Oreochromis niloticus: one gene and its partners. The protein of the gene in region 1 purifies or fractionates together with the protein of each later gene. This does not show direct contact. Links are inferred from orthologs where the notes say so. Each region holds a gene or a part of one and is shown in the gene's direction. Other genes may lie near its edges.

Evidence for each region.
Region 2: the proteins of wdr77 (region 1) and ctdp1 fractionate together in Homo sapiens (co-fractionation; 3 studies listed by BioGRID and IntAct, with this or other methods). This does not show direct contact. The link is inferred for Oreochromis niloticus from reciprocal best matches to the Homo sapiens genes WDR77 and CTDP1.
Region 3: the proteins of wdr77 (region 1) and gar1 purify together in Homo sapiens (affinity purification with mass spectrometry; 3 studies listed by BioGRID and IntAct, with this or other methods). This does not show direct contact. The link is inferred for Oreochromis niloticus from reciprocal best matches to the Homo sapiens genes WDR77 and GAR1.
Region 4: the proteins of wdr77 (region 1) and riok1 purify together in Homo sapiens (affinity purification with mass spectrometry; 5 studies listed by BioGRID and IntAct, with this or other methods). This does not show direct contact. The link is inferred for Oreochromis niloticus from reciprocal best matches to the Homo sapiens genes WDR77 and RIOK1.

What each region holds. Positions count from the first base shown.
Region 1 is NC_031970.2:22,062,861-22,070,425, reverse strand, and holds the start of wdr77 (methylosome protein WDR77), read left to right. Parts: upstream 1-4,556; 5' UTR 4,557-4,883; coding exon 4,884-4,992; intron 4,993-5,239; coding exon 5,240-5,425; intron 5,426-5,504; coding exon 5,505-5,646; intron 5,647-5,799; coding exon 5,800-5,849; intron 5,850-6,166; coding exon 6,167-6,237; intron 6,238-6,353; coding exon 6,354-6,411; intron 6,412-7,217; coding exon 7,218-7,289; intron 7,290-7,385; coding exon 7,386-7,494; intron 7,495-7,565. UniProt on the Homo sapiens protein: Non-catalytic component of the methylosome complex, composed of PRMT5, WDR77 and CLNS1A, which modifies specific arginines to dimethylarginines in several spliceosomal Sm proteins and histones.
Region 2 is NC_031985.2:31,525,251-31,532,352, reverse strand, and holds the start of ctdp1 (RNA polymerase II subunit A C-terminal domain phosphatase), read left to right. Parts: upstream 1-4,089; 5' UTR 4,090-4,683; coding exon 4,684-4,979; intron 4,980-6,118; coding exon 6,119-6,202; intron 6,203-7,102. Other genes in the region: adck5 (putative aarF domain-containing protein kinase 5), read right to left, coding at 991-1,140, 1,232-1,326, 1,997-2,020. UniProt on the Homo sapiens protein: Processively dephosphorylates 'Ser-2' and 'Ser-5' of the heptad repeats YSPTSPS in the C-terminal domain of the largest RNA polymerase II subunit. This promotes the activity of RNA polymerase II.
Region 3 is NC_031966.2:13,611,131-13,618,693, forward strand, and holds the start of gar1 (H/ACA ribonucleoprotein complex subunit 1), read left to right. Parts: upstream 1-4,560; 5' UTR 4,561-4,700; intron 4,701-5,000; 5' UTR 5,001-5,014; coding exon 5,015-5,219; intron 5,220-6,963; coding exon 6,964-7,118; intron 7,119-7,227; coding exon 7,228-7,287; intron 7,288-7,362; coding exon 7,363-7,489; intron 7,490-7,563. Other genes in the region: alcohol dehydrogenase class-3, read right to left, coding at 1,074-1,212, 1,914-2,046, 2,249-2,509, 3,241-3,460, 3,550-3,637, 3,738-3,888, 4,039-4,140, 4,353-4,370. UniProt on the Homo sapiens protein: Required for ribosome biogenesis and telomere maintenance. Part of the H/ACA small nucleolar ribonucleoprotein (H/ACA snoRNP) complex, which catalyzes pseudouridylation of rRNA.
Region 4 is NC_031982.2:34,663,961-34,671,059, forward strand, and holds the start of riok1 (serine/threonine-protein kinase RIO1), read left to right. Parts: upstream 1-4,096; 5' UTR 4,097-4,245; coding exon 4,246-4,298; intron 4,299-4,900; coding exon 4,901-5,072; intron 5,073-7,099. Other genes in the region: rpp40 (ribonuclease P protein subunit p40), read right to left, coding at 3,757-3,876. UniProt on the Homo sapiens protein: Involved in the final steps of cytoplasmic maturation of the 40S ribosomal subunit. Involved in processing of 18S-E pre-rRNA to the mature 18S rRNA. Required for the recycling of NOB1 and PNO1 from the late 40S precursor.

The sequences.
Region 1 (7,565 bases):
ACAAGTATCAACATGATTTGCATTCAGAGATGCTCTTCTCCATACCTTGGTTGTAATGAGTGGTTATTTGAGTTATTGTTCCCTTCCTATCAGCTCAAAGCAGTCTAGCCATTCTCCTCTAACCTCTGGCATCAACGAGGCATTTTTATCCAGAGAACTGCCCTTCACTGGATATTTTTCCTTTTTCGGATCATTCTCTGCAAACCTCTAGAGATGGCTGTGTGGGAAAATCCCAGTAGATCAGCAGTTTCTGAAATAGCCCGTCTTGCACCAAGAAACATGTTCAAAGTGATTAAATCACCTTTTTTCACCCAATTCTGATGCACGGTTTGAACTTCAGCCGGTCATCCCGACTACATATACTTGGTCTTTGCATTGTTGAATAAATTGCATTCGCATGTGATTTGCTGATTAAATATTAGTTATATTAACAAGGACTTAGACAGGTTTACCTAATAAAGAAGTTAGTTTCACGTAGGGTGTACTTGATACCCATTATGTACCTGGCATTCAAACCCATTTAAAACTACCGACTGTGTTTACACTGTGTACCCAGAAGAAACCCACACTGTTGCAGGGAGAACATGCAAACCAGGCTGTAGATGAATCCAAAACCATCTCTAAAATACCGCACTCCAAGTCAATATAGCCCGTGGCTTAAATTTTTTTAATACATACATAGCCATTTAAAGTGTGGATTGTGAAATACACACATTGTTGTATTCTTATGGTTACTTTTATAATAAATATGACATTTTTACATTACACAGGAATATTCTTTAATGTACAGAAAGTGAGGATGCTCCAGCTGTTAACTCTTGTACCAACGCTGATGTGTAAAATGACAAAGTAGCACATGATCAGTGTTATTGTTGTCATTCATACCTCTTTGTGAAATAAGCAAAGTAGGATTTATCCGGCATAATAGGTGAACATTGGCCACTGCTCTCAGTAAACGTAATGCAGATGTTTGGCTACTATATCCCGTGTAGAAATGCAGTACTAGTACAAAACTTAGTCTACATCTAAAACTAACTTTACTTATTTACAGAGTAAACAGTAGTGATCCTCATACATATGTGATATCAAACAATAGGCCTAAACACAGAAATGTCAATAACTGTAATAAAAAAATATAGTATTGGCATAGTGTACAGTGTAAGGAGGACCATAAAGGCACGTTGGAGCTTTAATTTAAAATGATGAACTTAAAGTTATTTGACTTATACTTTCGGGAGAAAAAAAATAGGAAAATGAAGGCTTTTTTTTTTTTTTTTTAATAAACAAACCCTCTGCTCTCCCAGTAGGTTTTAAGTACCTTATTTTACGTTGTTAATTGCTACAGTGCCAGCAGCTCACTGCTTTCACCTCGAATGACATTTCTCTTAGTGCGCGGCAATGATGCTGGTATGTCTGGAGGTCTGACTCGCCAAGAATGTTAACAGCTCTCCCTTAATGCTCCCCAGCAGCTGCGCACAGGCTGCAGTCCAGTGTGCACACATCAGCAGCCTAGCATGCAGAACGGCAGCTATCCACCCACCTGAGTGTCTGTCACTCAGCGTGGACAGGTACACACCTCGGAGCAGCTAGCCTTAGCTACAGTTAACGGTTAGCCTTAACGTTACCTGGTGGGTTAAAGCCGAGACAAAGGCATCACTGTAACGACGACTAACGTTACAAAGCTACCGTTATGTGCACCGACGACACTTGTGTGAGGAAAAAAACACACACACACGTTTTGCCACTTGACATGGCTGTGTGCTTACCTTTTGTGAACACGGCAATACACCCACAAAATCTTAACCATCAAGTAAGCCAATCACTTATCGATTTTAGACAGGGGGACAGAACTGTAACGTTTTCGCCAATGTAACCTTCATTTCCGTTTTCCTACCTTCACAATAAAAGTGCAGATTGATTTGACGTAGTTATAAGTGCGCATTTACATTATTGGAATTACTTTTCTTCTCTTGTCACTTTACTGTGGGGTTTGTTCGATAAGCAGTTGGCGTAATAGGGACTACGTTAGTATATATAAACTATCCAATGCCAGAATTGTAAATAAACAGGGTCAAACTGGACATGAAAAGGAGCGCAAATGGACTTCCGGTTAGTTCAAAATGATTTTACCAACTTTTACTGCGCCATTAAACCTCTTTTTTGTAACTCAAAAAACCTATTGAGCTGTCAGACTTACCTAAACGGTAACTTGGAGTTAGAATCTGGCCCGTGGATATTTGGCATGCAGACTGGAGCAGCCAGGGATTGAACCACCAACCTTCTGAGTAGTAGATCACCGGCTGTACCTCCAATTGCATCCATAATGTTGCGTCATGTCTTTTTCTTCTTCTTCTTTTAAGGTTTTGCAGTATGCGCATAAGGTTTAAAAATGCTTTGAAATATATCAATAATGTTTTTTTCCTCTTTTGGCTGCAACCTTTAGTGGTCACCACAGTGAAGGCACCACCTCACCCTATCCCTAGCGTTCTCTTTGACAACCAAGCCTCTGCATGTTCTCCTTCACTAAATCCATGAATGGCAGCTACATATTTAACATCTTTTGTCCAGTATCTCCGCTGTCCCTCTTGAGAATGTCCAGACCTTCCCAGCCTTGCCTCTCTACCTTTCTCTTAAAACTGCTCAGCCTGAGCTGTCAATTGTGGTCACTCCCAATAAAAATCATAGCATCTTCAGCTTTTCCACCTCCAGCCCGAGTCTTATTTGATAAGAGATGACAAAAAAGAATAAGATCTAGGAAGACATGGGAATTTCTAGAAATAGCAGAAGGGGGTTTGATGTCCTCCCAATCCTGAAGACCTGGAAAAAAAATGGAAAACATAGACACGTGGCAGAATGAATCATTTATAAGTTATCTATAACGTAATTTATACATCAAATTAAGTTCTGAAGGTAGTTGGCCAAATGGTCATGCCATAGTCAGAAATGACTTGAGGCACAGAATTTATCTTCCAAAGCCCCAGAAGAAAGGACAATATCAGATTTCTTAGGCAATAAGAGGACACTGGGGAAACCTGTCACCCAGCTTTAAATCCTTTTACTGAGAGATTCACTACTATGAACATTGATCTTGTTGAGTGACAATAAAGTAGTTATTCTCAATTCTTCTACTGTGGTATTTAGAAATGAAGAATCTCAACTATTGGATGCATTGTGGTAGACAGATACCCCTTCAGGAATACTGGTGTAACTTTTGTGGTCCTCTGTCTTTGGATCTCGTTTCATCATCAGGTGAATATTTTAGTTGCTAATGATGAATTTTTTAATGATTTAAAGTGTATTTAAATGTAACGTATATGCTTGCTTTATTTTTCAAAAGCGCAAATAGTGTTACATTCATATTAACTGGTAAAAAACAGTGCTTGTTCTGTAATAAATTATAATACAGTAATAATGTTTTAAGTAATAGAAATAATAAGTGATATTATTATTATTATTATTATTATTATTATTATTAACAATAATAATAATAATACCTTAAGTTTCTCTAGAAATTATCAGCAGATGCAATGCCATCTACAAAAGGCAGTGTGTGACCAGGTTTATTTTATCTTTATGATCAAAAGCAGATGGTGTAATGAAAAGCTGAAGGGCCTTAAAGCAGTTCAGTTAGCTTAGATGTTCCTGTTGACCCGGCACAAGGAGGAAACATTACAAAAGTGGAATAAACATCAAAATTAGGCTATCTGCCAAATTGTAAATTTAGAAGTTGGTATCTGTAGCTAGAATGAAAAGACTGTAATGAAAGACAAGATACTCCAAGATTAATAACTCCTGGACTGATTTGTCTGTAACTGACATACTAACTAACTGACATAGGCAGTCACATCAAAGTACTGGTTGAAATTATGCTAAAACTTATGGAAGTTTCTTTCTGCCACTGGGAGAAAAAAATGACATAACTCGCGATTTCTAATTATTTTCTTGGATGTTTGAGTTTGTAAGGCAGAAAGAAGCTTCCATAGTAGTTAGTTTAAAAAAATGTAAACTATCTGAAGTGATTCTGTAAACTTGGAAAAATAACTACAATGAAATTAAATGATAGTGAAAACACCCCTAGTTTGGTATTGTTATGATGTATTATTGTTAGTATTGTATTATTTTGGTAAAATTTGTTATCACTAACTGCATGATGAGGCTTTGGTGAACTTGTTTGTTGAGGCTTTGGATGTCTACAAGACTGTGAGTCAACCACTTTCAAAAAGTCCTGTTGATATTGTAATATCTCTATTGATTTTCCTAAATGTTGCCTCTGTCATTTGCCATAAATACAATTTTCTTTTTTAAGTCTAAAACTAACACTGAAATGAACAAAAACTAAAACTAAATGAGAAAATGCACTCTGGAAGTTAACTGAAACTAAACAGTGTTCAAAGCAAAAAGTTAAAACGAAATACAATTTTTAAAAAAACATAAAAACATGATGTGAAAATACAAAGCTATAGTAACTCCAGGTGGCAGTACTACATTACATTACTACATTAAACCTTTGAAGAGGCCCCATAAGCTAAATAATACTGCAGAGGGCAGTAACACGTCTGGTACTATGCATGCTGCCAAAAAAAGAGAAGAAGAAGAAACCGGACAGGAAGCGTTTGCTAGCAGTTCCATGTGTTGCGCTGCTCTCGGTCATTCATTCGTGAAACGAAAAATATACGGACTCGTTTTTCATGCATTACGGGCTTAATCGTGTTTTTAGCAACCGACTGTGTGCTATTATTGATAGTAATAATAATAATATTTTCAAAAGAAATAAACTAAAGACAAAACCTGCATCATTTCTGCAGTAGCACTAGCTAGCTAACGCAGGAGTTGTGTTGTAGAAGTTTAGGAAATCTCATCAACATTTAAAGTGCGATTTCTGGATGAATAGTTCAGTGGATACTAGGATGATCAAGGAAAACCGGTGGGACATACCCCCCAATGCTCCTGCGTGCATGGAGAGGCACCTGTGCGCGGCACAATACAGAGCAGGTAGGGGAAAGGAGCGCTAGCTGAAGTTAACGTGTAAACACGTGGTGCCGCTAGTTGGTTATAATTAGTGTGTTTACATTTGTGCTAAACTGTTGAAATCCTACGTTGACTCTCTTATGTTTACATCCAACAAAATGTTAAAGAAATAACATTTTCTGTTGAATACCAGTCAGACTAAACTTTTCTGGCAGGCGATGAATGAAAATATAGACGTTTGAAAGGTTTTCTCGTTGGGCTTTCTCCACAGATGGCACCCTGCTACTTGGTGCCTCCAGCCTCTCTGGCAGAAGCTGGCAGGGATCTGTTTGGATCTACAGCGACCCTGACCAGGCCCCCAGTGAGGGATTCTGTAAAGCTGGTGTGCAGACTGAGGCTGGTGTCACAGATGTCAAATGGGTGTCAGAGAAAGGAATTATTGTTGCCTCAGATTCAGGTAATGAAATGTTTTTATGGCAGGTGAATCAAGCACACACTTGAGGCTTGTATGAGACTGGTCTCATTTGTCTGTGCAGGTGCCTTGGAGCTCTGGGAACTAGCAGAGGATGAACGTCTACTGGTTAATCGCTTTACCAAGAATGATCATGACCATATTGTCACTACAGTAAGCCCCATGGTTGGAGCAACCGCTGCAGTCACTGGCAGCATGGACTGCAGGTTAGACTTGTTTTACATGGACATACATACACCATTCCACCTGTCACAACAGCGCAGAAGCAATGTTAATTGCTTTTGTTTCAAACTTTGGCTTACTTAATTTTTGAGTTGCCCTTGTCATCCCTTAAAGTGCATCTTTGCTTATTATTACAGAATTAAAGTCTGGGATCTAAGTCAGGAAATGGTTGTCACTACCTACAATGGTAAGCGTCATCTTAACATTTCTTCATATAGAAATGCACAAAACTTATAAAAATGCTTTTTTTTTTCCATAATGTGGAAAAATAAAAGTAAAAAATGTTTATTTTTTGTAGCATTCCTGGATGTATAGATTTTAGATTAATTAATTTACCAAGGTTTTTTGTTTCTATTGCTGATATTACCAGACTATCCCAGTGTCATATTCCTATTGACTCTTTGGAACGATGTATTGCTGAAGGAAAGTTTTATATTAAAATGTCATAAACATCATTGACATGAAAAGTTTAACTCAACAGTTCTTGTTGTTTTCTTCCCACAGTGCACACACAACCAGTCACTTGTGTTGCCTGCAGTCCTACAGATGAGTCTCTGTTTCTCTCCTGTAGCCAAGTAAGATGCTAATCAGCGTGTTGTTTGCATTCTTGTCGCAGAGGTTTATTTTTTGGACCGCAGAGCTGCAATCATTCAGATAAACTCAACTTCTTCTTCTTCTCATCCCTTCTTAGGACGGGCGTGTTTTGTTGTGGGACAGGAGGAAGCCCAACAAACCTGCATCAAGAATAGGTAAGCTACTTCACTAAGCTTTGATAACCACTTTTGCCAAACACTACTGGAAGAGTAGTTGAGATTAGAATTGGTAAAGCTGCACAGGAAATGAATTATGACAGAGAGTAAAATTTGTTCCAAAACAAACAGTTGTGTTTACAAATTTATGCCAGTACACAGACTATGCAGCAGTCATTCACTCTGCAAATGTATGTGTGTTAAAGTTGGAGTATGTACTAATACCTAGCAGGTAGACAATATTGCAACTGCAATGGAGTTGATTCCTCCACATATGCAGCCATTACCAAAGTAATCAACCCAAATCCAGAGCCTTAACTTTTCCCCCATGAAGACAACATTTGACAACACCTCATCTGTCCCCTTAATGATGGATTAAAAACCCATGAAGATGTGATTTGATGAACATTAGAGTAGTTTTCAGGTTTTTCAGGTGTGGCGGAATAGGCAGAGACCATCCTCACTAACTTACATGCAGATTCAATCATTTAGTTCTATAAGCAGGCCTGAAATATAATGAAACCTCTTAGTTCACAAAAGAGCTTCAAGGGTTACTTCTAGAAGGCTTTCAAGGTTTAAAGAGTTAATAAGAGTGTTTCCAAAACTTTGGAAGTGCTCCATAATTACCTAACTAGCTACCTAGCGTTTTATTTTTGTCTAGATGATTAAAGAAGGACTTTGTGTTGTTGTTCCTGGAATCCGTTTATAGGCTGTCTTGGAAATATGTCTGTGCTGTACAGGATATCCTGTGTAAGTAATGAGAGATGGCAAGCGCATTCTCAGTTTCTGTTTTTGTTTTGCCTCAGATGTAGAGTCTCCTAGCTGCTCCCCTACTTCTCTAGCTTGGCACCCTCACCACAGAAGCACCATTGCTTTTGGTAAGACGCTGCATTACATTGTTGAGTCACATTTGATTAAGACCTGACTTTAATTGAGACAAAGTTAACTTCGCTTACATTCTGATCGTGTTTCAGGCGATGAGCTTGGCAGGGTGACTGTGAAAGATTTCCTGGGATCGGAGCCATCTCGGGTGGAGAAAGTTCACAGCCGCAGAGTTAATGGGCTGGCCTTCTCCACACACAGGTAAATGTAAAGTCTGTCACAGTCTCACCTTTGGCTTTATTGCTCTTTTACAAAATTCTGACTTCTTCCTT
Region 2 (7,102 bases), on another chromosome or scaffold:
AAAGGAGGCGGTTGAGGAATTTGTTCGGCTCATTTCTTGTCAGGTAAGTGAATTGTTGATAGCAGCGGCTCTTAACTAATTTTCTAGTGTGATCTTCCGCTGTGTATGGGCTTGGTGAGAAAACCAGGCAGTTGACGATATCAGGATATGCAATAGACGGAAGACTCTCCAGGTCGTCATTGATCCAAGACGAAGGAGCCAACTCGTATGGATCTGCACCACCAGTAAACCTTAACTTTTCCAAATATCGTGCCCTTTCCTGCGGACCAAGTCCTTCCCTGTATGCCTTTGCATCTATAATGCATTTTGAGGAGCTTTTCTGTGGTTTCGGACATTGATCCATTGCAGTGTTTACCTCCGAGTGCCTCCGCGCATGCAGGTTACCACCCAGAACGTGACGTAGGTAGGTGAAAACCCTCTATGAAGCGGACCTTGAATAGCTTAGTGGATGCAAAGCTAACATGACCCCACTCTACACCCCCACAAAGTTTCATCAGAGTTCAGCCTTAACTTTTTGGGCTGTCATGTTTACAGACAGAACGAATGACACACACACAGTAAAAACGTAACCTCTTGGTGGAATAATAAATGAGGGCAAAACAGAAGCCATTTTGGCTTAATAACTACATTGACTTTGGCCACACATCCGCTCCTGCCCGTCTCCACCCTGCTCTCAGTCTTGTGGTGTCACCCAAAAACTAAAAGTAATGAGACGGAATTTACAACCTTATAAAAGGCATAAAATGATTGATTTCCATAAAAGGCAATGCTGTCAGGATATTTTTTTGTTTCTTTTGCTTTTATCCATTCATGAAAAAAAATGACCTACTTTAGCTAATGTTCCTGACAATACTTAGAGAACACTATTAGATATACAAGTCTAATATGCAAGTTTAATAGATAAGAAGTCACCATTTAGAGACCATTTCACAGCCTCAGACTGAACACGTATTAGAATCTCATGATGCTGATAATGACATTCATACAAACCTGCAGAAGCGGCCAAATCCTTCAATCACAATCCTCATCTGTCTCCTCTGTCTGGGCTCCGATACGGCATACTTGACGCTCACCGCCACGGGAACACCAACAGAGAGGCCAACGAGCGTCTTCCATAACAAGCCTCTGTGCTTAGCTTCCCTGCAAGATTTAAAACACACACATACAGTCTCATTGCATGCAGACTTGAGCATAGACTGAAGCTCATCTACGGTCCTCAGCTGTCTGCTACCTGAGTGAACTGAAAGATCGCCTTGCTGAGAGGGATGAGGAGCCAGGAAGCGGAGCTCTTCGGAGGAGAGCCAGGTGATGCAGACATAACGTCAACTGAAGAAAAACAAAGCAATGTATGAGTGACCTACAGCACCACTTCCATCTGACACGTCTGACCTCTGTGTTTGCGCAAGTTAAGTGAACGTTAACCAGCCCCGCGAGTTAGGTAAAGGGATTGAGGGCACGAGGACAGACACTGTGTTCTGAGTAACAGCAAGAAAACGTGGGCGCGCGTGTGTGTGTGTGTGTGATAGGAGGCGAGGACGTCTGGTTCAAGGCGAACATGAGCAGCTATACTGACACTTTGTTGTTCTTTGCAGTTTGCTTTCGAGGGACAAAATGTTTCCACTGCAGATAAATTAATTTACACATGGCAGCGGGGTCAGGGACCAGAGCCCTGAAATATCTGAGCAGCCCAACCCCCCTCCTCCCACAGCCAGCTCGCAGGAACACTTGAAGACGATCCACTCCTGCAGCCGTGCGTGTCTCTCCTACTCACACCATTGCTGGAAACAAAGTGTTGAATGTGTCCTCTCATGTCAAAAATGCTTTAAAACACTCCAGTGAACAGCATGCTTTTTAAACACGGCCTTGACATTCAATTTTAATCTCAGATAATATATACAGACGCTAACACACCGGGCCCAATTGCAGCTGGCTAGCAATTAACTTGCTAATTGGAGAGAATTGGGTTAAAAATGTGTAATAAATAAGATTTATTTACCACTTTACAGTTCTCCGCTATCATGTTTCCGAGTTATTAAAACAGACAAGCTCCAAGAGACGTATTAATATTCCTTGTCAGCAGCCACCAGTAAACGCTTTACCTTTCTCCTTCATAAACTGCTAACAGCACACTGGTTTGCTGATGTTTAACCAAAGAGTAACGCAATGCGAGATGGTACCCTCCCACATACTGTAGTTTCCGTTTATTTTTTTGACAGCTCGTTCGGCCGTACAAATAAAAACTACAAGTGAAAAGATTTATTAGTTATTTATTATTTAGATAACTGAAAATAGTCACATTTTCTTATCTGATGTGATTCTTTTAGAAAAAACCTTAATCATTAGATCCATCTTACAACAACACCTCCTGCCTGAAGACACACAAAGGTCCCCCTACCTCACAGAAAGTTTGGTTCCTACACACACTGGACATGTGTGTATTTGAATTATGATTGGCTGCCACGGCCTGGGCTACCTTTGCACTATCTTTGTCTCTTTTGCACTGATACAGTGCCAATGATATGGGACAAAAGTCATGGTGGATGTAATGTGTGGATCATTGAGAAACTTCCTTGTGTAATGCAGATACTTCCCTCCACTGTGTGTGTGTGTTTCTAAAATTAACGAATGTGCAAAGGAAAACTTAATTTAACATCAAACGTTTTGTTAATAACTAGAACCTGTCTTTAGCAAATAGGTCTATTTATTGATGGAAATAGATTGTATAACTTTAACCACACTAGTGCTAAGTCCATCCATCGACCCACTGCATCCACCCACTGACAATGATCTAGGTTAGGTAACAGAAGCCCTCTTGTGTGCAATATACATAATTTTATTTAAAATATAATTTCAGGAATTTCATGAGTTCCTTTAAATTACTAATTTTGCCTCAATGAAAAAAAAGAAGATTCAATTTCATTAACCCCACATATCAGACAATCTTCTCAAAAGCATAACAACTTTCATAAATTTAATAAGAAAAAAAATGTCTATTTCATAATTTGTAGAACATAGTATAAGATTATTTTTAAATACCAAACGTTAACGGAAGTTGCTATAAAATACTTGTGTAAGCTATGTTTTATCGCTGGTATTCCAAGATTATTTCTAGGGCTTTTATTGTGAAATATAAGAAGAAAGGCGTTTTCACACCTGCGTGAAAAAGAAATCGGGTAGTGAAACATCTCGGTTAGTTGAAACGAACACTCTGGAAGGAGGTGCTTAAGTTCTACGTCATTGAACAGTTAGAACAGCGCGAGGTACGTCCTTGTCCTGTAAGGTCATCATCTATCTCCTCTGCTTCCTTCCTTCAGTCCCATCTTCAGCCTGGAAAGTTAAATATTAACATAACTCGAGGGTCGGTGTAATCTATACAATCAAACCTAAGGCTTTCTTAAACTATAACAACCTCCTTCACTTACACCTTAAACATGACTGCATTTGTAAATATCATGCTCTTATTGCAAAACCCCCATGAGACACTTGTGTAGTGTTACTTATATGTTACATCAAGTTGCGTCAGGTAACACCATGTCTGTGCGGGTTCAGGGGCTTTAACGAAAAAGGGAAAAATAAATAAAGATCTTGCACGGTTCGAGTGGATTTTAACACAATATGTAAGCGCTATGTAGGTGATATCTATAATAAGGAGTAGTTAAAATAACCACATTGGTGACTCTAAAAGTTTACGGCAACATTGTGAAAAGCGTCACAAAGAGGCATCTGCCGATAATAACAATCCACGAGTCGTTTTATTTTGAAACCTAAGTAGAAACTGCGTTCAGAGACGATCGAGGGAAGTAGTTTCATTTCCTATTAATCCCACTGTGCACAAACTGACTGTAGATTAGCCAGCGGCACCGCAGAGGGCGCCGGCGAGCTCGTCCTCGATGATCACAAGTGTAAAAGGACCTAAACGGCTAAAACCTGCTTCTAGACAAAAACCCACAAATTACTATTATTATTAATTTTTGCATACCTATAATTTTGACGACCTAAAATATAACAACAGTTACGTCATTTCCTTTATCTTAAAAAAGAAAGAATCGGATTTTCCGAAAACCAAACCTGCAAGTTGATTGGTCAATTTAGGATTCACTAGCTTCGTGCCCAAAATCAAAATGGCAGATGCCGTAAAGTGTCTTATTATTGCGCTGTCACATAAAACGCATTTTAACTACAATCGAACCCCGTAAAATGTTTTTCGAAATTTAACTGAGTCCATTGTCTCACATTCACCTATAAAAACACACGATTAAAGTCCCCAGCATAACATTCTCCACAGAATTTACATTTGGGGGCTTCACGTCCACGGGGATGTATTCATTCTGGACTACCTCGCGAGCGCCCTCTAAGAAAACAGGGATCCAAAGAGTGGGCGTTCTCGGAGACGATAGCAGTTCTCTGGTGTTTTTCGCGAGTGGCTTGCTGTATACCGGATGCTGTAGCGACCCGTGTCGCTGCAGTGTTGCGCTTTCCTGTTTACGGGCGGGAAGAGCGAACGTAGCTGGGACTGTGGAGCTGCTGTGTTTAAATCTGCAGCACATTTGTTTTAATTCTCCTCGATGTTGACGGTTCGCACGTTTTAATGATACACGGGGCTTTGCGAGGTCGAGTGGATACCTTTTAAGCTGTCAGCTTTTCAAAAGTAAGGAGATTTTGTTTTTGGAGAGTGCGGGGCAGATGGAGGATCCTCCTGCAGATTTTGGTGGTGGCGGCGGTGGTGCAGCTGCAGAGGGCCCCGTGGTGCAGGTGGCGGATATCTGCTGGCCAGCCGGGGCTCTCCCTGTCCGGCTTATAGAGTGGAAAGTCAAAGCCGGCTCTCTTGTTAACGTGGACTCCGTGCTAGCACTGTGTGCACCCATACCTCAAGAGAAGGGGACTGATGGTGCCAGGCTGCCAGAGAAGAAGGTGAAATCGGACCGTGCTGGAATAGTGAAGGAGCTATGCAGTCAACTTGGACAAGTCATATCTCCCGGGTGAGTCACCCTGCTTGCTATAGCTCGTTAATGTTAGCTGACCTGTTCCCTGTTTGTGTCAGCTCAGTTTTGTTGCAGCTGTCTTCATGCTCACTGTACCTAAGCTAGCTAACGAGCTAACACTGTTAACCTGACGTTAGCTTGTTTGCTAGCCACGCTCAAAGCAACACAGCGGAGCGTTTGCTCTGACCAGTCAAGTACCGCAAAATAAACAAGCTGGCGTTTCGTCGGGGGCTTTCAAAATAAGAGCATCGTGTTTTATAAATATTATTTTATCTAGCTTTGTCAGGAGTTGTGATTGTGGTGAAAGAGAAAGTTAGAAAACAATTTTATTTGCTATATCAGAATTTTGATTAACATGCAGTAATGATTGAATTTACAAACCTCCGCACTTTTGTTTTGAAGGCGCGACCACGTGGTAGATGCTCTCGTGCTGTTTGCCTTGACGCAGCCACTATCGCGTGCACAAAATTGTGTACAAGCAGTGCAGATTGACAGGTAGAAGAGTGACCCTGGAGGCAGCCGTTATCCTCGTGAGCTTGAACCAGCCGTGTATATGTATGTATGTGTGTGTGTGTGTGTGTGTGTGTGTGTGTATGTGTATATATATATATATATATATATGTACTTTAACGCGTATTAATTCACAGTAACGGGAGACGTGTATCTTAGCAGTTAATTAGTAAAAGAGGAGATTTTGAAGTTCTCTTTAATTGGTTTGACCGGTCTCTTTGTGCTTTATTAAGTATTAGCATCACTTCTTATGCGGAATATATCAAATTTAAAAGAAATGTCCTATTTTTGAAAACTTTACATTTAAATTCGACACCTTTTGATATTAATACACATTCAAAGCTGATATAGTTGTTATTTGCTATTAGGAAAGGGTCGTGCTGCTTTCAGGTACTCTTTGTAAACTCTTGCTCCCGGCTTAGTCTACTGTTAGCTGTTTATAATACTTTAACAGCGTCTTATTATTACAGCTATATAAAGTGAAACACCTAATTAACAGCTTTCTTTATGTTTCTTTATGTACTTGCATGCTACAGTTAATGAGAATCTGTGCACAGTCCCAGGCTTCAGTTTGCAAGCAAGTTAATTGGGTCTTTAATTATTTTCCTGTTTTTTCCTTTTTCCAGGGGCATCATAGTCAGAATAGAAGAATGCAGCCATCCCATCGTCATGAAGGGCTTATGTGCCGAATGTGGTCAAGATCTAACTCAGTAAGTACATGCTTTATCTCTCTTTTTTGTTTGTTTGTCTTTAACTTAAATCTTTGTGTTTTTCTGATCTGCTCAGGCGTTTTCCCCCCAAGAACTTTAATTTCCCCCCTTTTATTGCATAGATATATCTATAAACAATAAAACAAACTAAAATGGAACAGCAAACCCCTCCATATAGGCTCATTTGGGATGGATGTCACGGTTGTGTAATTTCACATGCTGGTGGCAGAAGAAAAAGGGGAAAAAGTGAAAAAAAAAACCAACAGAATGAGTAAACGAAAACTATTCTGAAAACATTGGTCAAAAAATTAAAAAATGTTTTCTTTAAAAAAAGATAGCTGTGACGTTTACCTAACACTGTCAAAACCAAGCAAAATGGCATTGTTGGTAGGCTTTAAATGTGCAAACATGATTAAATGTTATATGATGATAATATCTGTGATATTACATTTATTCAATTGTATGAATGAACTTAAACTTAGCTAAGCATTTGAACCATGTGATATAATTGTTATTACAACGTGATTACAGAGGATGTTTTAGTAGGGAGGCATTTGTAGATCCCGAGAGCCCAGACTTTGTTTTTTCACTTGTTCAACACCATCTGTGTATGGAAGCTCCATAGAACTTATATCTCATAAAGCCTTATTTTATGTCCTTGTCCTCTGGGTAAAGGCAGTATGTCTGTCTCTGTCTGTTTTCTTGGAGCCTGTCCAGCCTGTCATAGGAGTGATAGATGCCAGTCTATCGCAGGGCTAACCCAGAGAGACAGACAATCATTCACACTTAGATTTAACTCTTTGGCCAATTTAGAATCACCAGTTAACTTAATAAACAAAGTGTTTGATCTGTGGGATGAAGCTAATCTACAACACTTACATCAAGATACTTTAAAAGCAC
Region 3 (7,563 bases), on another chromosome or scaffold:
CAAGTATATATATAATGTAAACCAACAGACAGGATTGGCATGAGGTGCATACTGAATCTACAAAAGCTTGTGATGACATCACAGCAGAGTCCTGCAGAGGATGGATTCGCCACTCCAGGAGATACTTTCCTCGCTGCATTGCGAGGGATAACATCTGTTGTGATGTAGATGAAAATATGTGGCCAGACAGACAGGAACGTCTGGATGTGCCAGAATGATTTACTGTACTGTTACATGTGCTGTTTATTGTTCACATTAGTGCACAGCTCTACCAAATGGGTGATTTTATGTTTACATGTATTCTACAGTGAACAAGTGACTGTAGCATATTTTTCTTTTGCACAATTCTGTAGGATTACAAACACTTCTACACAATGGAAATGTGAAACGTACGTATTCAGTGTCTCAGTTACTCCCAAGACTCCCATAACATCTACAGTGACTTCACTGCACATTTCAGATGGCTGTACAGGTAGGCCATAGTGCTGTCGTCAGCATTTTCAGGTGTCACCAATTGTTTTTGCAATGGGAAACACTGAAATTATAAACTGTCATAGTGGAAACATGACAATGCCATTTGACTATCTTGTTCATACAGATGGTGTCAAGACTTTTCATTTTGATGGCACTGGCAGTTTCATTGACATGGATACTTGCTTTTGCGGTATGGATAATCAATTCTGTGCATGTGACGTGCTTTTGCAGGCTATCCACTAGGTTTTGCAGTTTGCACTAATTGTTTTGGGAAATGCACTAACTGCTGTGCAAATGTTGATGGTGTTCTGAGAAACGCACCAAAGCGACTGAGAAAAACTGTAAGGTCACACTATACCAAATAGTATTTAAATTTTTATGTCCTGGGAAATAAGTTTCTGAAATTATTTCTAAAGATCAATCAAACTGAATCTAGTGATTTGTTTAATCAAACAGAACATGTTAGACAGAAGTTAAAGATTTGAAAATACTTTTCTTACATATAAACAATTTTGTCCCTAAATAGCAATTCAGTCCTGATATTTATGGCTAAGTAGACTTTTCTGTTGTTGTTTATGTACACATATGAAAGGTCTCACCTTTTACCACTTTTTAAAAGGTCAAAGGCCTTATTGATTTGAACCAGCGGGAGCTTCTCCGTAATAAACTCATCCAGTTTCAACTTGTGATTCATGTAGTCATCCACCAGTTTAGGCACATCCTTCACACTCTTCCACCCTTTAGAAAAAGTTAACAAGCTCAACTTGTAAACATGTTTTCATGTAATATGAATTGCACTGTTGTAAGACCGTCCTGTGGTCACATTCACAGCCAATTCGCTGCACATCAGATGTGAGTTTGATGTGCTCATAGTACATGAAACATATGTAAATTTATTGTTACAAATTGTAAAAGTGATTATATAGTTTATGTAGGATATACCTAACTGTCTGTCCTCACTGAACTTCTTATATACGTTTTGAACTCAGGAACCAAAAACTGTTGGTTATTTTGACAGAAATTTAGATGATTCATCGATTGTTTAATTTATTAACTGAGCACAACTCAAGACTTTTTACGTATTCTCATTTTTCTGTGGGTTATTAAATCGTACTTCAATAATATTTAGGTTCAGGAATGTTGATCAGAGAAAACAAGCAATGATTGTTTTGAATGCTTTACCTAAAAAAAATTAATAAAATAAAATTATATTACAACCAAAGCAGTTGTAATATAATTTTTAACACATTTTAACTATTAATAATCCAATAGCAAAGTTTTTTACCCCAACATGACATTACATTTTGCCCTGGCGGACAACATTAGGGACAGTTTTTCAGGATGATACACTCAATTTTATGTTCATCACTCAAATCTACATTTACACCAGAAATGCAATTAAATAATCTAATATGTATGGTAATTTTTGTTTACTTCACCTCCAAAATAAGTGCCCTTTAAGGTACGTCCCATGAGAAGCTTTTCAACTGAAATGCTCATTGTTTCTGTCTCTGTCCATCCAGCAATGACACAAGTACCCCAGGCATCTCTTGTGGACTCAAGTGCAGCATTCTATGGTGACAGAAGCAGTTGCTTAACTAATTATCATTTTGTATTTGTATCATTATCTAACTCTTTCACTTGTGTCACTTTTTGCAAAAGAGATCAAATCTAGGTTAACAAAGAAGACATTGTACAGTGTACTCTAATTATAGTCACAAGACTTAATTTGCATTGACACAATTGCATGCCAAATTTCAAATGAGGCACCCACCATGATAGCTGGACTTCCAACACACTCCAGCGCATAGTCCACACCTCCACCCGTCATCTCCACCACAACCTCTTGGATAGGCTTGCTGTAATCTCTTGGGTTTATACAGTCTGTCGCTCCAAACTGTCGGGCTTTCTCAAACTTGTCAGGGTTGATGTCAACCCCGATGATCCTTCTCGCAATGGCAACCTTGCAACCCATGACGGCAGCCAGCCCAACAGCTCCAAGCCCAAAAACGGCACACGAGGAATCTTTTTCAACCTGAATGCACAAAAGTTGGAAGCCAGTCAGCTAATAGTTCTTAAAGATCATTTCAGCGTTTTCACAGATAATTTTTACAGCAAATATAACATTTAGAGTACATTCCTTTAAACACATACATGAGATATTATCAGGTCTGTGAATCTTGATTAAAACTATGTCTAAATAAATAACCCATGCAAGGATTTCCACGCATTTTTAGTTGGTTTCTTTTTAGTAATGGAGTACAAAAGTGTCCTGATTTTGTCATTTTATTTATGTTAATGTGTGTGGACCTACTTTTGGCTGCTCCCTTATTCACAACGGGTCACCTCAGTGACTTTGGCGATTTTTAAAGCAGATTCCTTTCCACATGCAGCCAACACAGGAACATGTATTTCACATGTTATACAAATGTGTAAACCATTGCACTATGGAACTATTTTACATTATTTGAATTTGTGTAAAGTAGTTGACATGTACACCTTATCCAGAAAACTTAGTGGCACTCGTGTCATTTCTGCCCTCTAGTGTTGATATTAAATGACTACAGTCTTGCAGCATATTGTAAACATAAAAAAGCAAAAAACTTCCAGATACAAATATCACTATTTTTTCTTTTTTTTTTTGGTTAAAATATCCTTGGCTGTTTATATATTGTCATGTTCATCAATATATCTTTTGAAATTTGTTGCTTCGTCACATCTGTTCTAAGAGTATTAGTTTGAACCTTTCGAATTCAGTTTTCTAACCTTGCCTGCATTAATAGCAGCTCCATAACCAGTGGAGACACCACATCCAAGCAGACAGACTTTGTCTAGCGGTGCATCGCTTCTTATCTTTGCAACCGAAGTGTCAGGGACCACAGTGTATTGAGAGAAAGAACTGACTCCAAGGAACTGGTAAACCTGCTGTCCCTTGCAAGATATCCTGCTAGTCCCATCAGCCAAAACTCCAGCTTGCATATTTGTCCTAAAAGACACATAGAACAGTATTTACGTGAACACATTTTAAGTAATAGAGTAAACGTGGTTGTCTCAAAAATGGGGAAATAAAATCACCAGTTTTTCTTGCAATGATTTGTTTTTGGACTTAGACAGCGTTCACATTCCCCACAGTATGGCAGAAAAAGAGGAATAACTTTGTCTCCTGCGAAAACAACGAAACAATTATGTAAGTCTGAGAAGAAAAAAAAAAGAGAAATAAGATTCATAACAAATGTCATCTGACTGGTTGTGGTACACTTTACCCGGGGAGACTCTAGTGACTTCTGGACCAATGCTCTCCACTATGCCAGCTGCCTCGTGACCAAGTACTAAAGGGAATGGTCTGAATTTCATCCCTTTTCCAGTCTCAAACAGGTATTCCCAGTCTGTGTGGCACACACCCGTGGCAACAACCTGTACAAACCAAATGATGTGCCAAATGATGTGACAGTTTCAGGAAGTGGAAGTAGTCTGTGGTTAACAGTCACACTAACAGGAAATAAAATAATCATATGTAAATCATACTTATTGTTGTATTGCTGACAAATTTGAGCTGTGCCCAACCTTAATTCGGACTTCATGAGCTTTAGGTGGTGCCACCTCCACTTCTTCAATACAAAGAGGCTTCCCGGGCTCCCACGCAACAGCTGCCTTGCATGTGATCACCTAAAGGGGAAAAAAACCCAAACCAAAACAAATATGTTTCCAAAGATGAGTGACTGTGTTTGGGCGCAGTTACAGATGCAAACAAACAATGAACACTCTCCATGACAGAAAACTTTAGAATGAAAAGCAGAACCCCCAAAAGCAACAGTAGCTGTTTATAAGACAAACAGTAAAAAAGAAAAAAAAAAGCTTAAAAACAACTTTTTTCTTACCTTTCCATCTGTTGCCATTGTTGGCAGATGATGTCTTCATATAAAACAGCCTGTATTTGAACAAAAAATTTAAATAAAGGAATAATTAAATCTGCACTTGTCACCAAAACAGCTTCGAGTTACATTATATCAACATTTGAGTGGGTAAAGTTGAACTGACCGAGTCAAACAGCAGACAGGTTGCGCCCTCTTCTAATTCTAGTTTTTCTTCAATGGTTTAGCTCTGTCAGCGCATTTACGACACTTTCCGAGACCGCCCCTTGCCTTTACGGCACGTTATGGTCACACGTGTTGTAGTCGCATGGAAGTTGGCACAGCGGTCTGAAGTCTAGGCAGTCGGTCAAATTTGTGAGTAATTGTCTTTATCTGTGCAAAATCCGAGTTGCGCACTTTTTCGGTGTGTATATTTTTTCAACGACTACGTATCGTGTTGGTTTATGTTAGAAAACTCCGATGGATTTTCGTACTTTTAATAACTGAGTTGTGCTAACGTAAGCTAACCACTTCAGCTAGCATAAGCAATAGCTTCCAAGTCAGCATAGTTTGCCCGAATCATGGGCAGGCTAATTCATTCATAAGTGTTTAGCTTCAAGCATGAACTCACGTGAGCTGTGTCGTCTTTGTGTTTTTATAATTTCTTATTTACAGTGCATTTGAGGAGAATGTCTTTCAGAGGAGGAGGACGAGGTGGTGGAAGAGGTGGAGGTTTCAACCGAGGTGGTGGAGGATTTGGACGAGGTGGAGGAGGATTCGGTGGAGGCAGAGGTGGTGGAGGATTTGGACGGGGTGGTGGAGGATTTGGACGGGGTGGTGGAAGAGGGGGTTTTAACAGACAGCAAGATTATGGACCTCCTGAGTATGTTGTTGGTAAGCCCAGAGCTCACAAAACGCTAAACCGAGTGTTTCTTTATACACATGTGAAGCTAACCTTTTACCACAGCTTCGCGTGAATTCTCAGACAATGAGATGCAAGCAAACCGTCTTGATATTGCCAAAAAACTGACTCTGTAATATTACCATTACACAGTTATGGGGAAGTGGTGTGGCTGAGTAGGTAGGCTGTGACAATTTTGTCCTCATCAAAGATGGAGACTATCCCAAGGATATGGAAAACAAGACCTGTGTCCTGTTGCTCTTCTTGGTGCATTGTACTGTAAAGTCACCACGAACTAGTCTGTGCAGTCACAAAAAAACAAACAAACAAACAACAAAAAAGAAAGGCAGGCATGCAGATGTCCACACACACCATCTTGCCTGAATCTATGTAAAGGCCATGTAACCTATGTAAGATGACATTATCGTGCCAGCATTTACCATGTTAATTACTTTTGTGGTAGAGTCCTGGCAGTTTACATGTGGTGCCAGTCACGATAGAAACAAACAAAATACCAGAAAGTTTTTTTCCCCTTCTGGCTTGCCACTCTTTGCTTTGTCATTTTTATATTTGTTCCTCTAGTATTTCCACATCTTTGTACATTTCCCTAGTGTCCATTCCAATAGTTTTGACAATCTCCTTCTAGGAATTTGCTGCCATTTGTGAGTCCGTATTATGGTTTTTATTCCTTTAACAGATCCTTATATTATTATTCTGTCATTGATAAATTCTAGCACTGCATCAAAAAAGTAGCCAGAAATGCATAGGCGAAATCAACGGTATTCAACAGGCCAATCATGGTAGTAGTGGCAGTGTTGATGTGACATGTAATTATATTTCTATGTAGGTGCATATCAGTTTATCAGGGTAGGTTACATTATAGGGTTTCTCAGCGTCTGCTATGTACACTATTGCCCACTGAAGCATAAATTTCCAGTCAGTGTTAGCAGGCAACTCTAAAACAACGGTGGACCTTTGGGTGTGTGTGAATGGAGAACTTCAGTAAATATTCTATGTGACAAGAGTATGAAGTTAATACACCGTGTGTCACCTACATGAGGAATTCAAGATCCAGTTCATGTTAATTAACTTTAACTACATGTTTCCAAGTTGTCCTAAATACACCAGAAAACAATTATATTTCAAAGATGTTAAATAATATTAGTAATAGTATTATTAATATAATAGTAGTGGTGGTGGTGGTGGTGGTAGTAGTAGTAGTAAGAATAGTAATAATAAAATGAGCAATATGTAAGTGTTTAAATTCAAACTGCATTACAGACAAAAGATCAATCTTTTATATATTTAATGATCATCCCACAAAATGTGAATATAACATGCTGTACCAGGAGTTAGGTTGCCATCTAATATATTTTAAGTCCACATTGTAATATTGTTAAAGATGTATCTGTGTTTCTACTCATTGGGCTGTTCAGAAACAGATTTTTTTTCCAACTTATTTGATCTTTTTGTTTTTATATGTTTATATTCTAGTGCCTCAAAGTTTCTGTTTTAGCATATATTCTGGGTCACTTCCTTTAACCCCCATTTATTCCCCTGGCCTCCAAAGAATTTCAGACGTACAGAAACCTTGTGCTAGATGCCCATAAAGTGAACTGCAGAGCAGTCAAGCATATGCTGACTTATTATAACCAGACAGAAATTTAAATTGGTTGTCAGTCATGGTATTGCACGTCTTAAACTTTAACTGTTTCATTGTCTTCACACCCTTCACAGCACTGGGAGAGTTCATGCATCCATGTGAAGATGACATTGTCTGCAAGTGCACAACAGAGGAAAACAAGGTTCCCTATTTCAATGCCCCAGTGTACTTGGAAAACAAGGAGCAGATTGGGAAGGTGGATGAGATATTTGGCCAACTCAGAGACTTTGTATCCTTTCTATTGTCTTTGTTTTTCTCCAAACCTTTGATTGAACTGGTGGTGGGGATCTGTTTGACATTGTCAGTGTTCTTGTTGCTTCCTTAACCCATCTTTGCAGTATTTCTCAGTAAAACTTTCTGAAAATATGAAGGCGTCTTCATTCAAGAAACTACAAAAGGTACCAAAAATGTCTCAAAGTTTTCTAGTGATTAATTTAATACCTCAGATTTCTAACCAAAATGTTGGCTTTTAGTTTTATATAGATCCAATGAAGCTACTACCACTGCAGAGATTCCTCCCGAGGCCACCAGGAGAAAAGGGGCCTCCAAGAGGAGGCAGAGGAGGGGGTAGAGGTGGAGGAAGGGGTGGTGGTCGTGGAGGTAAGATGGCATTCTCATTTTAATTTAATCTTCTGGCTAAGTGTTTAGAATAGATAACAAAACAGACATTTGTG
Region 4 (7,099 bases), on another chromosome or scaffold:
TGTGGAAACCAATGTTCCCTCTAAGCTGCGCACGTGCGCAATTGCGCACTGCTGGCACGGTCTCTGCGCACAGAAAATCTGCGTTGCGCACAAAAAAAATCTAACCCGAATTGAAATTAATATTAAAACTTTAACAATTCTGTTTTGCAGTGTTAGTCAGTGAGTGACTGGCTGCTCCTGTATGGGATTAGAACGATGCCACCTTATCCTATAGTCCAGCCAATAATGCGATTCACATTCGTATATACGCAGCCAATCAACGTCGCTGACAGGCTATGACAGCGTCCTTATGTGCCGACACCGGTGTTTTAGCTAGCAAAGCGGCGTGGCTGATGTGCAGTGAAGCCACGTTAATGACAACGTGTACAACCATTGGAGATGTGAGCAGGGCTGGACTGGGACAAAAAATTAGCCCGGGCATTTTGACTAGAGACCGGCCCACCAGGTATTATGGGAAAAACTAGAGAGCCTTTGAATGAAAACAAACGTCGTTGTGACAGTGATGTACACTGTCTTGTTGGTATATATGTATCAATCTAGAACTTAAACCTACACCATCCTCCCTATTCTGGTATTCTAAACAGTACTTAGCCGAAACCCAAAGACTGCTTGGTTTACCTCCTGAACTTTCTACAACATATGGTGGAAACTTGAAATTAAGACAGAGAAGCCTAGAGGTGAGACATGACCATTACTGAATATTAAAAATAATAAATGACAGATTTAGTGATATTTTCATAAACTATTTATTTACCACATCAATAAACAGCATGGCAGGGCAAAATATTTTTGTAACATGGCAACCTTTAAAAAGTGAAAGGAGACAGAAAGAAAGGTGAGAAAGAATAAAACTTCCTCACTCAAAACTTACCATCAAAACTTAATTTTGATGGTATTTTACACACAGTACTGGTACAGTATCTAGAAAATGTGGGAAAATACTGGCATCATATACAGTACTTACTTCTGAAGAAATTATGTTGGGACCCTGAAAAAAATTACTATGTACAATAATGGATTTCTATACATTTGACATCAGATGAAAACTTTGGTTGTATGACTCAGATAATTATTTGTTAAAAGCTAGAAATTTCAAATGAGAATAAGAAAGAAACGTATTTTTTGTGCCCCCCTTTCCCTGTTAATGCCCTACCTGGCCCCCTGGCAAAACTTTGCTAGACCCGCCCCTGCACAGTTACCAGCTGTCAGCTAGAAAAGGATCCTGGTGTTATTTGTCTCCCAGAAACAGTTCATAACTTCCCTTCAACCCTTCATCCCTCCAGCAAACATCAGCTGATACTAGAAATTAATATTAAATAAATTCTAACAACAGCTCATCAAGTTTAAAGGTGCTTCTGTTGTTTAACGCGACCTCCGCTGGTTTGCTCTTTCTGACGCAGAGAGAAAAGCCGATCAGCTGATCATTGATCATTGATCAGCTGATCGGGACAAATCGCGTTGCTTTTCACCTCAACTTTAAAGTTCGACCTCCTCGGCTGTAATTGGTCCAGCCCAGAGTCGATCATGACCAACTGGCCAATACACCACTATTCATTTATACCGTTGAAAAAATAAAAGAAATAAAACCCCATCGGCCCATAAAAACGAAAAATCACGAGCGGCCCACCGGGAAAATGCCCGGTATGTATGGGCTCAAAATGTGGTCATAAATATTTTGTACTTGTAAATCAGTTTTGTATGTGTAAAAAGAATTTGTGCGTGCGTAAAAAAGATTTGTATGTGCAAAAAAGATTTGTTTGTGTGTAAAAAAGATTTGTATGTGTAAAAAGAATTTGTGCGTGCGTAAAAAAGATTTGTATGTGTAAAAAAGATTTGTGTGTGGACTTAGCCAAAAACCCCCCTGCAAGTTACAAGTACGAATTTTGACCCTATTTTTCTTCCTGTCATCTGATTGGTCAATGTCATGTCAATCACAAATGTAACAATCCAATCAGAGAACAGATGGGTTTGGCTGTCGGAGGGGCACTTTTTTGAACTGCAGGTCCTTGAAGGGTAATACAGTTTGAAGCTGGAGGATCTCTATATAAATATCCGATAGCAGCTAGGTCCCCTAACTTTCAGCAGCTGTTGAAAGGATAAAGTTGTGGTATGTCAGTGGTTAGAAATACCATTATTACTTTAGGATTAGTTTAACACAAAGTCAGGGCTGACCCGGGACCATTGCTGTGAGTCACAGTGCGCAGCATAAAGGTCCTTTCACATCGGACGCAGGATGTGCTGCTAATGCTAACTGCTAACTAAAAGCAAAGGATCCAGAATTTGTTGCGCTGGCTGCTGAGCTCTGTGGGTTTTTGCAGCAGCTCTACCTGTACTAGATGCACCTGCTCCTTGTCGTTTCTGTCTCTGACTTTATGTCCTCTACAAGAGTTTGGTTTTTTTGCTAGTTCTTCAAATGTTCAATAAAAACATGTATGCTAATTCATAACGAAGAAAGCTTTGTAATGAAGACTGTCATTTCCAAAACACTGCCCCCCCGGTCCGCAGCGCTGTTGAAAAGGCTGTGGAAGTCCCTGTATAAAGCACGTAGACCTGTGACACAAAAATCACCAAACTCGGATGACCACAGACTGTTTTCCTTTGTGGTGATGAAGGAAAACGCTGGGTTGGCATGTAAAAGGGCATTTATTCCCTTCAAGGACCTGCAGTTCAAAAAAGTGCCCCTCCGACAGCCAAACCCATCTGTTCTCTGATTGGATTGTTACATTTGTGATTGACATGACATTGACCAATCAGATGACAGGAAGAAAAATAGGGTCAAAATTCGTACTTGTAACTTGCAGGGGGGTTTTTGGCTAAGTCCACACACAAATTCTTTTTACACACACAAATCTTTTTTACACATACAAATCTTTTTTTACACACGCACAAATCTTTTTTACGCACGCACAAATTCTTTTTACACATACAAAACTGATTTACAAGTACAAAATATTTATGACCACATTTTGAGCCCATAGGTATGCCCGATGGCCAGTCCAGCTATGGATGTGAGCAGGACAGACGGAACAATTGACGGACAAAGTGTGGACTTTATACCAGTTTTTAAATTGTGTTGATCGGCCACGTAAAACCAGAGTTATGATAAAAATATCTGCAATGTTTGGTTTTCTTCCTGAATACTATCGTTGTTTATATTTACTGCCGGAAGAAACGGTAAAAACGGCGTTTTATAAGGAAAACGCTCGAAAGCACTCTCAGCCTGTGAGCAAAAACAAAACCAAAAAACCCCCCACCCTTTCCTATTAGTCGAAAAAAGTACCGTGTCGACCAATCAAAAAAATGATATGGCAACGTGGCATCTAGTTGTTAAGAAACGGGGGGAAGTTTTAGGAGTGACGGCGGTGTTCTGAGATGTGAAAGATTTGAGAGGTTTGACCTCTCAGAGCAGCTCCCACGGGTGCTGGGTGGGGTTGAGGTCAGGACTGCAGATCCATACTCTCCACTCCCAAATCCTGAAGTTAGTCTCTGGTAAAGCCGCTCTGTGGGGGCGACTGCTGACTCACCTCTGAACACGCAATCCTTCCACCTCAATGCTCTGAACGGTCATCCACAGAACCACTCGCACACTGAGCCCTGCTGCTCCACCCGCATACTCAGCACTGCTCCACTCGTGACTGCTCTCCTTGCACTCGATCAAACACGACTTTAAATTTACATGAAGCCGTCCGTGAGCCCGACGCTGTGAAGCTAACGGCTCGGAGGTGAAAGGTCAGAGGTGAAGGGTGAGAGCGTCACCTGGTGGTTGAAGTGCAACTGCTGCACCTGCGCGCTGATCCGGTTCTTCGGGTCCAAGAAGCTGGAGCTCTCCGACACCAACAGAGTCCGCGGAGTCCGGTCCAGCTCCGAGGACGTCATCTTCTTCGGCTGCGAGCTAACTACACGTGTTTCCGGCCGCGGCTTTTCAGTTTAAAAGCTCCCGGTAGCGAACCGGAAGTGTTCGTTGTTTTTATTTTGGAGGATATTCCGGCTGTTGGGTGAATGGGGCGTTTGTGTGTGTGTGTGTGTGTGTGTGTGTGTGTGTGTGTGAGAGAGAGAGAGAGAGAGAGAGAGAGAGAGAGAGACGGATCGGTGGATGTGATGTGACGTCATCCTCCGACCCGCGCCGCTCTCCGTAGTCACGTGGTCGAACCCGGAAGTGGAGCAAACACGAGGAGCGGCGCAGCACAATCGGTCTCGAAGGTTCAGCGCTTACCTGTGTTTACCTGTGTGAGAGGCTTTGACGTCATGGCGGAGCCGGCGTGTGTACCTGGGCAGTTTGATGACGCGGAGGAGGACAGGTGAGTTCGTTCGTTTGTTTTGATGCTGCGGTGTAAACAGTGAGGCTGTACCTGGCTAAATCACCATGGTAACAGGTCACCTAAGGCCTGCACTCCATAGCAGGATTCAGTCTTGTCCAGGTAACCTCAGGTGTAACCTGGGTTTCTGTGCTGTGAAGCAGCAGCTGATGCTTTCATGTGTGAGCTTTTCTGTCATGTTTACTGACGTCACCTTACACACACACACACACACACTCTCAGTGTAAGTCTCCATGGCCGTGCTGTCGGTGTTTCAGTCCCATACACAAACCAGCCTCTCGCCATCAGGGCTTCTTGTTTCAGGTCAGGTAAAATTCAGCTCATCATATTTACTACATAAATACAATCAGCAGGCTTCAGGCCACAAGAACAGAACCACGACTTTAACCCACAGAGGAGCTCTGATAGCTCCACAGAGGGGACCAGTTCACAGCTCAGGCCTCTGCCCTCCTGACCATCGGGGCACCAGGGCTGCCTCCTCCCTTATCATTACATCTTGTTTGCTGTATGAGTAACTTTCACAGAGATTTCAGCAGCTCTGACTGTGTTTTTGTTGTTTGTTCTTTTGTTTTTTTGTTCTGCAGTGTCAGGTCAGTGGAGCTGACTCGCATCAGTGATGCACTGCCTTCATCAGAGCAGCAGGATTTCAGTGAGGAGGAGGATGTGGATGATGAGGATGAGTGGGCCTGGAGCTCAGCAGCAGATCTGGCCAAAAGATACAACCAGGCAGCGGGTGGCTTGCAGGTGAGACAGGAAGTGAGTAGAGGTCAAAGAACCAACAGAGTCTTCCAGGTCTAAAAGATGGAAGGATGGATGATGTATGTGTTGAACACCTGATTATGCAACAGAGGAGCTAACAGAGGGACTAACAGAGGAGCTTACAGAGGGACTAACAGAGGAGCTTACAGAGGGACTAACAGAGGAGCTAACAGAGGGACTAACAGAGGAGCTTACAGAGGGACTAACAGAGGAGCTAACAGAGGGACTAACAGAGGAGCTAACAGAGGGACTAACAGAGGAGCTAACCGAGGGGCTAACAGAGGAGGTAACAGAGGAGCCAACAGAGGGGCTAACAGAGGAGATAACAGAGGGACTAACAGAGGAGCTTACAGAGGGACTAACAGAGGAGCTTACAGAGGGACTAACAGAGGAGTTTACAGAGGGACTAACAGAGGAGCTAACCGAGGGGCTAACAGAGGAGGTAACAGAGGAGCCAACAGAGGGGCTAACAGAGGAGATAACAGAGGGACTAACAGAGGAGCTAACAGAGGGACTAACAGAGGAGCTAACAGAGGGACTAACAGAGGAGCTAACCGAGGGGCTAACAGAGGAGGTAACAGAGGAGCCAACAGAGGGCTAACAGAGGAGATAACAGAGGGACTAACAGAGGAGCTTACAGAGGGACTAACAGAGGAGCTTACAGAGGGACTAACAGAGGAGCTTACAGAGGGACTAACAGAGGAGCTAACCGAGGGGCTAACAGAGGAGGTAACAGAGGAGCCAACAGAGGGGCTAACAGAGGAGATAACAGAGGGACTAACAGAGGAGCTAACAGAGGGACTAACAGAGGAGCTTACAGAGGGACTAACAGAGGAGCTTACAGAGGGACTAACAGAGGAGCTTACAGAGGGACTAACAGAGGAGCTTACAGAGGGACTAACAGAGGAGCTTACAGAGGGACTAACAGAGGAGCTAACCGAGGGGCTAACAGAGGAGGTAACAGAGGAGCCAACAGGGGGGCTAACAGAGGAGATAACAGGGGGGCTAACAGAGGAGGTAACAGAGGGACTAACAGGGGGGCTAACAGAGGAGATAACAGGGGGGCTAACAGAGGAGCTAACAGAGGAGATAACAGGGGGGCTAACAGAGGAGATAACAGGGGGGCTAACAGAGGAGCTAACAGAGGAGATAACAGAGGAGGTAACACAGAGACTAACAGAGGAGGTAACAGAAGGGCTAACGGAGGAGATGAGTAGTTCTTTGGAGGACTATTTCTGTGGAAAGCTAACTGAACCTTGTGCTACATTAACATAATTATAAAATGATAGATAGATGGGAATACAAACTTTAGTCTATCTTTGTTTATTCTAATTGTTCTCAGCTTGAATCAGAATAAAAAGCATAGAAATAAAAACAAGTCTCTATTTCCTGTTGCCTCCATTGTAGAAGGTGACTTTGTCTCCAAACAGGAACGTGTACAGTCAGAGGTTAACGTGGATTCAGCAGGTGGAGGAACCTTTAAATCAGCTGTAATGTCTGAGTGTGGGGAAAAGACTCAGTCATTTCCACTGAGAGCTCCAGTAGAGTTTCTTAGTGTGCAGGCTGTGATCAGCTGACCTGCTGCTCTCTGTGGATGTACACACCTGGATTCATCCAGATGTGAGCAGATGTAAAACTCATATTCTTGAGTCATATTTCTTTCCATTTTAATTCATTACTTAAACATTCAATTAATTATTTAATGGGCTATTTAATTGTTTTTGGTACTCCTGGCCCTCCATACACTTGCTGTAAGCTAACTGTGAGCATGAACCCACAGCCACTGTGCAGCAGTCACAGACTCTACTGTAAACCAATCACAGTGCAGCAAACTCACCTGTTCATCCTGCAGAGGATTCTCATGCAGCCTTTAAATAACACAGTCAGTCTGCCTCAGTTTGATTAGCAGCAGGTTTATGAACAAACACAATGTGACAGATTTAAAACCATGAGGACTTCCATGTGAGCTTTAAATGAGCGTCCTTCCTTTAACTCTAAGCTGTCTTCTTCCTCTCCTGTCCTTC